Neodiprion lecontei: one gene and its partner. The protein of the gene in region 1 interacts with the protein of each later gene in a pairwise test. Links are inferred from orthologs where the notes say so. Each region holds a gene or a part of one and is shown on either strand. Other genes may lie near its edges. The genes, in order: peroxisomal membrane protein PEX16 and peroxisomal biogenesis factor 3.

Region 1 (4,620 bases):
CTACGGGATATTTCACACTTTATTTTACAGACATAATTATTGGTTAATTAGATAAGTCAACCGTGATAAGAGAACAATCTGAAACAGGATGTAATGTGGGCAGGTTCCAACTTTTATTTGATACTTTGAATGAAGAAATCTGGTACGACGACGAAGCATTTCATTGCAAGTAAAGTTAACTCAAAATTGTTGATAATAAACTAATGAAAAACGTGGGTATTATAAATATTAGAATTTAATGAATTACTATGGAGTGCAATAATTGATTTTCATACCTGATTGTTTAGGCATTTTAACGTCGAGCAGGCAAATTTCAATAACTGCAGATTAGAATGAAAATAAAATCCAACAATCTTTCATCGCACTTATCTGAAAATGAAATGGATAAATTTACAACGATCCATCATCGGGTATTAGGAAATACAGAGCGTTTAAGACAATGGGGGAAGGAATTTAATCAGACGACAATTATCACGAATAACTGTTTCGAACGTTCCAACAGTACGTCTGACATTCTTTAGAAATCCTTACAGTCAATGATCGTATCAGAGTTAACCTCAGCTCGATTAATTCCTTTTATTAATTTCTCCGCCTTCTTTTCCACTCTCAAAACCGAGAAATTCATTGGTTCAATAGCTTATCGATCACGGACAGGCGATAATTCGAGTACGTTGCAATATCAATATTTTGTCTGTGCACTTTCTCCACGTTAGCTGCGCGTATAAATCTGCTGTGCAGCTGTCAAAACGCTTGAAACGTGCATACATTGCATACGTATACATGTACAGTACCAAACGTTGAATCCGTAATAATGTGTGAAAATATAACTTATCTCGTATTTAATTATTGTCTGAGTCACGTATTTACCTTTGCTAAATATTCAGCCAAAGCTAATACGACCGCACACTGTAATATACACGTTGACACTAGGTACGGAAAGTAAACCATCTGCTGCCTGGTTCGGACAAGTTCTGACAAATTCTGACCACCCGACTCGGCGCCGGAGCTACGTCGGGACGAAAGTGATTGCACAAACGATAACCGCGATTCGAGGATTGAAAATTTGTTTACGAGCTTGCGACGATAAATGCATACCTACGCGATTTCACATGCGGAATAACAGTAGGTAAATTAATTCGAACAAAAGACTGACGGGGTCTACTTATTTCAATTTTCACGTTACGGATCGTTAGCCGGTTTTTCGAAATTTTTCAACCTGTACCTAAATGGGTGACATGTAGGTATTTGTAAAAGAATTTCGTTTCTCATTTACTTACCGTCAGATTTCCTCGCTGTCGCGTTGTGAAACGTGGCTCGATGAACAGCTTTCGAATTTAGCGTGGCGCGCATTGTGAGCATCGATGTTATACACAAGCGATTATAGGAGTTTCTAATTATGGATACATGTATGCACAACTGTTTTCGATGTTTGCTTTGACAAGGTCCGAACGATTACGCAACTAATTTCTTCGTGTCGGGAATTTGAATAGAAGTAACGATGTTCGTCGCCGTATGAATGTATTATCACGTATTCCATTGGATCGATGCAGTCGGTAGAACTACGACGACTCTTGTTGTCGACGATTTTACACACTTTTTTAAATTTTAACAGTCATTTACGCTCACAGTTTGCTGTTCAGTTTCGCGTCGACACTTCGCTGCACCTATCAAAGCAAATGAGTCACAAAAAAATGCCTCGTTATTCGAGATAGAAGCAGAACAATATCTGGATTCTGAAAGCTAACCTATAACGCAGAAACTGATGTAAATATTTCTTTTCATCGAGTCTTTGTCAAAGGAATAAATCTGTCCAAGATGCCTTCGCACAATATGAATACCGTTTTAATATACGTTGAGAAATATAAAAAATGGGTTACATCAAATCCTCAACTAGCAGGGGACATCGAAAGTACGGTCAAATGGCTGTCGTATTTCACCGCTGGTTCGTATTTATCCTAATCGACATGTTACTTGTTTCGCATATTGTTCAACCGTATTTAAATTGATTTACAAATTTTGTAACGCAGGACGGATAAACAATTCAACTTTGATGTCGGAGCTCGTGTATTCGATGTCCAACTTACTTGTACTGTTCAACGATAGGATTATAAATGCTAATACTCAGGTAGAGACTAAATTGCCAAAGTATCACTCGAAGATAAGAATTTGGTTGACTGTCTTGGAATATTCAGAAGTTCTTTTGGAAATTTCGGCGAGCAAACTGTGGGGAGAGACTGGAAAATGGCTCATCATTGTTATACTTCAGGCTTTTAAGTACATACCTTTTTTTTCGTTTATTTGAATAATTTCGATGAAGAAGTAACTCTCCGTTACAATTACATAAATTGTTTTTTACCGCAGATCGGTAATGCGGCTTTTGCTAGTTCATCGTTACAAAGAAAGAGTGACGCAAAGTCCTCCGATTCCACCAATCAAACGTGATAAAATATCCGATAAGGTCGAAACAATTGAGAAGGACGGTTTTGCCCTAAAAAGATCTAAGAAAGTCGTTCGAAAGGTCAATTCGGGTGGATGTTCTCAGTTTAGGTCATGGGCACCTATTCCTCCGTTAGGAATCGATGACCAACAAACCACCATTGATCTTACACCGAATAAAAAAATAATTCTCGCAGAGGTTTGTGCCGGCTAAAAAATTCCAATGTTACGAACTCCGGCTCATTGCAAGCATTAATTGTACCCAATTACGGCGTTGTTTACATTTTCAGACTTTGTATATTATCAAACCATTGTTGCACCTTGGATGCGTATCCGTAAGCGGACAGAAGCAATGGAAATCGTGGTTTTTATCTCTGATTATTGACCTTGCAAGGTGAGCCGATGAGGTGACATATATCTGTAAATAATTTTGACAGTCGACTAATAATTTTCACAAAACAACTCTAATTTTCCAGTTTGAAGTTGTACAGCAATGAGACAAAAGCAGTAACCCTGCGAAAGGAAGAGTTTGACGAAATCTCTCGTAGACGGGTTGCACTGCTCTTGTACATTCTTCGTTCACCATTTTATGATAATTACAGCCGCATGAAGATTTACGCGCTGCTTAAAATGCTATCGAGGAACGTTCCGCTCGCCAGAATGGTAACGGACCCAATTATTAAATATCTGCCACACTGGCAAAGCACATATTTTTATATGTGGTCATCTTGAAGTGTACTAGAAAAATATTTTGGCCAGGTAACATACTGTATTTTTGCCGATTCTAAGTCGAGCTTGTCGGTGTTGGGTGGAATACAAAAAATGTTTGTCCAACTTAAACTTAGTGGGGTCCATTTATATTCAGGTATTATTGAAATAATTGTCACCAACCTTGGGGGGCAGGGAGGAGGGGACTCGCATTCCATTATGGGGTATGGTATTCTGTGGAAAGAACTTTTTTTTTTCATTTATTATATGCTCTGATCCCACATTTAAAGCTTAAAAACGTGCAAATCTATGAAATGATTGCAATTTAAGTTATAAGTAAACGTCTATTAATATAAGTTATCGCATCAGCATGATCGACATTCCAAGTAAAGATGAGCACAGTCATGTCAGTATGGAGAATCTGATAATTCTTCGTAATAACACAATTTAAGTTGGAAACAATATTTCATATCTCAGGGAGCAATGAATCACATGCCTAGTGATAACGTTAATGTATTAACATTGGCAGATAACTATTGGAATAACGATTCACTGATCCATGTAGGATTTATAAGCTTCTGAAGTATCGAAACTTTAAGAAATTGTTATTATTCTTTAATTGATTAATTTAATCAACATTATATACAAATATTAATATTTATATTTATGCACGTAATTTTTAGTAAAATGAGTTATAAAATCGAGATGAACCCTATTTGAACTAAAGACCTATGTAGTTCAGTACAATGGTAATTACACCAAATTAAAATCTCTTCTGCAAGTTTGAAATATGAATCTTAAAACAGTTACGTATGTAACAAAGACAAGAGTAAAATTAATAACCGTTATAATAATTTATAAATATATTACAATTAAAATGGAATACAACTTCAGCGGAAAATACAGATATGGCAATTTGAATATGACAATGGTTTTTTGACATTTATTCGCACATTTGCAACAGAGAATTTATTGTCACATCCTTCTTTCCTTGATTCGCATCGTACACGGACTTAATGACCTCGGTATCAACGTTTGGGAACATCTCTGCGATCTGTAAAATACAAATCCAATACAGTTAGCGCTAAACTTTGCCAACATTCTATGACAACACTGACAAAATCCATATTACCTGTCTCAATTCAATTTCTGCGTTTGCCCTCTGACTCGGATCAACAGTTGGAACAGCAGCGACGGCAGGTGGAGTCGTATACACATTGACCGGTGCATATTGTGTCATACCACATAAATTAGTCGAAGGAACCATCATTACTGGCGTTTGACCAATGTATGGATTACCAGGAGTAGGCTGAATAAAAAATTTAAACGTCGTTCATCAATAGTAGGAAAAGAAACGCGCCAACCGTTATTGATGGATCAACGAGGTAACGCAAAGTTTTAAAAGATAAATTCAGTCCTTTCAAATTACCAAATAACTGAAAACCATGTTAATCATGCCTTCCTGATTATCCCCTT
Region 2 (4,206 bases), on another chromosome or scaffold:
GAAATTTGCACAAACTTATTGAATATTGGAAATGGACAGAGATTATTCTAAGTAAATTTACCGCAATCCAAACGCAAAAGAGGAGAAAGAAACCAAATCCGTTAAATACAATAAAACTGTTAATTCTGATTGGGGGATTATCAAAACGAAACTAGGTATATGCATAATTTATATGCTTTATTCCTCTTTCTTTGGTGCGGAGTATTGGCTTCCCTCGTTGACAGTTACCGTCTTTGTTCAGGTCGCTCGGATTTATGTTGAAGCTGATGACTGAAATCGCGTTGCACTTTTGCATTCAATGATAATTCTTATTTTATACCTATATGTATAAAATATTGAATAGATTTACGGTTGCATAGAATGTCTATTCTTTTTGAAGTACCATACGATTCTGACAATGTATTGACATGTGATACTTAAACATGAGTCTCTACGGGGTCTATCCTTGTTTTCGATTTAATCGAGGAACGGCGTTTGCTTACGCGAGCTTTGCTCGTGAGTCCCCATTCCGAGTAAATCGGATATTCAAATTTATTTATGATCTGCGGTATCGAATCGGATCATTCATGAATTAAATCGGGTTCTGTTACCGGAGTCATTGATAAGGTGGTCATTGACCAACTTTTTATTGATCACATATTCATACGGTACGTGTGCGATGTACACCATATTGAATTATGGTGCTGAAATGTGAGGATTTCCATAAATGTGTAAACTCGTCACACAACTTTTATATTTCCTCAATATTCCGCCTGATTAGGAGCAAAGGCTTTCGTGATTTATGAACAATCCGGTTTGATTTCTGTCAAGATAAACCAACGTGCAGAAACTGTAAAACATCTTCGCTGAAATACAAATTATTATTCAGTTTCTGGCTGCCAATTTTCTGGGAATTTGTTTCGCCCAGCCCGAAATTAGAAAACTAACCGGATGCGTCGAGTTTTGATCTATATATATGTTACTGAGAAAAAATACCGACTCGAAGTATGACGTAATTAAAGAAGAAACTAATTCCGAAAACACTCGTGCATTTAATAGTAATCTCATATTTAGTGACATCTTATATTGGGGTGAAAAGATTCAGTACTAACTGGGAGTCCCAACGAACAGGGCGCATCGTCATGTAATTCGATGAAACTTTAACGAAGTTGTACAGAGGTTGTAAAGTATCTACGGTTTACCGTGATTGATGAAACAAACCTGAAAAAACGATACATCTTTTGAATAAAACTTACAGAGACTAGCCGAAGTTTAGCAACTGCTGGTGTTGCAAATTCCCCAGTTTGAATTGCCTAGTTTAGATTCTTTACGACGCGACGTTTTCAGAAACAAATCATTATAAAGTTTAGAATCGAAAGAAATAAATTAATGATATAGCGATCAGAGAAAAAGAAAATTAAAAAATGTAACGAAACGTAAAAGAAAAAGAAAGTACATCGGTCCTAACTCTAACAGCATGAAATCTCCGTGATATAGTCATTAAAGAAAGACGAAGAAGGGTGAAAAAATTGATTTAAGTATTTTCTACGTTCAATCACGTTCGTCATGTTACACGAGGTCTATGAAGATTTTATGGGAACTGAGGTAACTCGCGTTGCGATACTGTTTCGGTATATTTAAAAAATACCTTTCGTGTACTTTCTGCAAAAAATTTGAAAATGTGGCGGCCTCAAGTGGAATGAATTGTAAATGTCGCATCGATCTAATCCTAGACCTAATAGAGGCAAAGAAGTGTTCTCGGCAAGCGAAGGAAGAGGTCCCCAATCGTGCTACCAGAGGGTGCCAGTGTCCGACTAACCACGTATAACGGCGCAGGAGTGACTCGCTAGTTTCAAGATTACAAAACAGGTTAGAGTTCACTGGCATAATTTTGGCCAAGAACAAGGAGTCAGGGCTTGAAGCATGAGTATTGATGGGGATCAAAGTTCGCAAGACGCGGTAGATCCACAGCTGCAGCATTTCATCGAAGTAGAAACGCAAAAGCAACGATTTCAGGTTAGCCCGTTCACCATGTTTGAGATCTTTCGTCAGGTAACCCTAAAACCCGTCGATACTACAAACAATTTTGATTTTGCAGGGCCTGGTCCACGAACTGACTGACATCTGCTGGGAAACCTGCATTGACAAGCCATCTGCCCGTCTAGAATCGAGAACTGAAAACTGTCTTCGTAATTGTGTCGAGCGATTCATAGACACTACTAATTTCATTATGAACAGATTACAGCGCACTGCTCTCAGCGCGCACCCTGAGTTGGCCATGGAATAATTCTGACGGCTCAGTATCAGATAGATTAAACACACTTTGATAGATTAAAATAAGTTTACATGTAACTCGGTTTGCAAGAAAATGATAAATGGCCCTATGAACTTAACTTAATCAACATGTTTTCACGTTTGAGAGGATTTCTGTATCGTCATAGACGCAAATTTGTCGTCAGTGGTATCCTGGTCGGTGGCATTATCGTGGCAACGAGGTATACCCAAAGAAAACTGCGGGAGTGGCAGGAGAGTGAAACAAGGATCTTCATAGAGAGAACAAAACGACAACAGCATTTTGAAAGCACGGAGAGAACATGCAACCAAACAATACTGTCTCTTGCCGTCGGCTTGCGGGATACCGTCACAAGTACCCTGAACACCGAAACCATAGTGAATAAGCTTAGGCATGGTTCGAACGACAAAATAGCACTTTGGAATGAGCTTAAGGTTCTAGCTGTTGCTCGATCAGCGGCATTAATTTACTCCAGTACAATGCTGGTTGCAACATTGAGGATACAACTGAATTTGATGGGCGGCTACATGTTCAGGGACTCGAAAAATCAGAATGAGCAAGCAAAAATAGACGGGGCAATGCAGGAGAGGTACCTATCGATATGCGAGTATTTCATGAGCGAAGGAGCTGTTAAGCTCAGTTTATTTGTAAAAGAAAAAGTCAAGGAGACGACCGCTTCCATATCACTGGCACAACAGCTTACCCTGAGGGATGTGGAACAGATATATTGGGGAATAACATCATCTATATCAGCGGATACTGAGAGAGATCCGATCAAAAATCTAAGCGCCTACATTCTGCCTCAAAATTGTGAGTCTACGGGGGATAAAATTCTCTCGAAAATAATATCGGAGACTTTGGATTTGCTTGAAAGCGAAGAAGTGCAATCCCTCGTTAGGTCAAGTGTCAGAACCGGTTTTGTCATGATGGTTGATCATATTTCTGAATATTTTTTCGACTCGTCTTTTTCTGGACAAGCTATGCCTGGTTCAAATCCTTTGGTCGCTATTCCAGGCCCGTCGACTCAAAGCGATTCGACTGAGAAGCCTATGGACGTTTGTAAGACAAACGGCTTTCTCAATCTTGACAAAATGTCCATGCCTATGGCCAAGCTGATCCCCATAGTCAATGGACAAGTGCCGGCCATTCCAAGAGCAGGTGATAGCCCCTCGCTTTGGGTAAAACAGTTAATTCTAAACGATAAACTCAAGACTCTAGGAGCCAACGTCTACGAGGCATTCAGCTTTTGAATATTACTCTTTAATTAAGATTTGGATAGAGGAACTATATATTTACAGCCAATCGTGACAGTGAAATAGTGGTGTGGGAGTCATAATAGACAATGTAAACGCGATGGAATGTTGATGGAATAAATTTTGTTACTCAAGTCTGGATGTTTTATATGAAATTTTAGGGCTGCCTATGCATTTGTGAATACACAATACCACACCTAACATGACGTAGTCAAATTGTCATTTCAGAGAAATATGAAGTATCAAGGTAAAGAGAAATTTGTGAAGGTTCTTAACAGATCAAATTAATGCAAAGCAATAAATACAATGCATTATGAATTTTACATTTAAGAACGAATTTCTTGAGAGTCGTGCATTTTTACAAGGTTGAAGTTTATAATATTAATGTAATGACATTTTTTAGCCAAAGATATTATTACGTTACTTTCAAATTTTCTAAAATTTAGTAAATCATAACAAATGAAAATACATTTATATTTTAGAAACTCGAACTGCTTCAGTCATACTAATTGAAAGAGGGGAAAACAGTGATTTTTGTTTCAAATCTTCGTTACTTCTACGTTACTAACTTCAATGACGTGCATTGCAACAACTGATACGGTATTTTGTAATTACATATTTTCGAAAACACCCACCGGTCGGAAATAATCGAAACTTAAGTTGTGCAGTAACCATGTTGCA

The links.
Region 2: the proteins of peroxisomal membrane protein PEX16 (region 1) and peroxisomal biogenesis factor 3 interact in binary tests that used the Homo sapiens proteins (3 or more experiments, as listed by UniProt). The link is inferred for Neodiprion lecontei from reciprocal best matches to the Homo sapiens genes PEX16 and PEX3.

What each region holds. Positions count from the first base shown.
Region 1 is NC_060265.1:3,486,277-3,490,896, reverse strand, and holds peroxisomal membrane protein PEX16, read left to right. Parts: upstream 1-1,806; 5' UTR 1,807-1,815; coding exon 1,816-1,942; intron 1,943-2,027; coding exon 2,028-2,274; intron 2,275-2,361; coding exon 2,362-2,635; intron 2,636-2,726; coding exon 2,727-2,830; intron 2,831-2,912; coding exon 2,913-3,168; 3' UTR 3,169-4,070; downstream 4,071-4,620. Other genes in the region: UDP-galactose translocator, read right to left, coding at 276-291; toll-interacting protein A, read right to left, coding at 4,088-4,198, 4,277-4,453, 4,574-4,620. UniProt on the Homo sapiens protein: Required for peroxisome membrane biogenesis. May play a role in early stages of peroxisome assembly. Can recruit other peroxisomal proteins, such as PEX3 and PMP34, to de novo peroxisomes derived from the endoplasmic reticulum (ER).
Region 2 is NC_060262.1:21,936,444-21,940,649, reverse strand, and holds peroxisomal biogenesis factor 3, read left to right. Parts: upstream 1-1,788; 5' UTR 1,789-1,995; intron 1,996-2,077; 5' UTR 2,078-2,382; coding exon 2,383-3,522; 3' UTR 3,523-3,659; downstream 3,660-4,206. UniProt on the Homo sapiens protein: Involved in peroxisome biosynthesis and integrity. Assembles membrane vesicles before the matrix proteins are translocated. As a docking factor for PEX19, is necessary for the import of peroxisomal membrane proteins in the peroxisomes.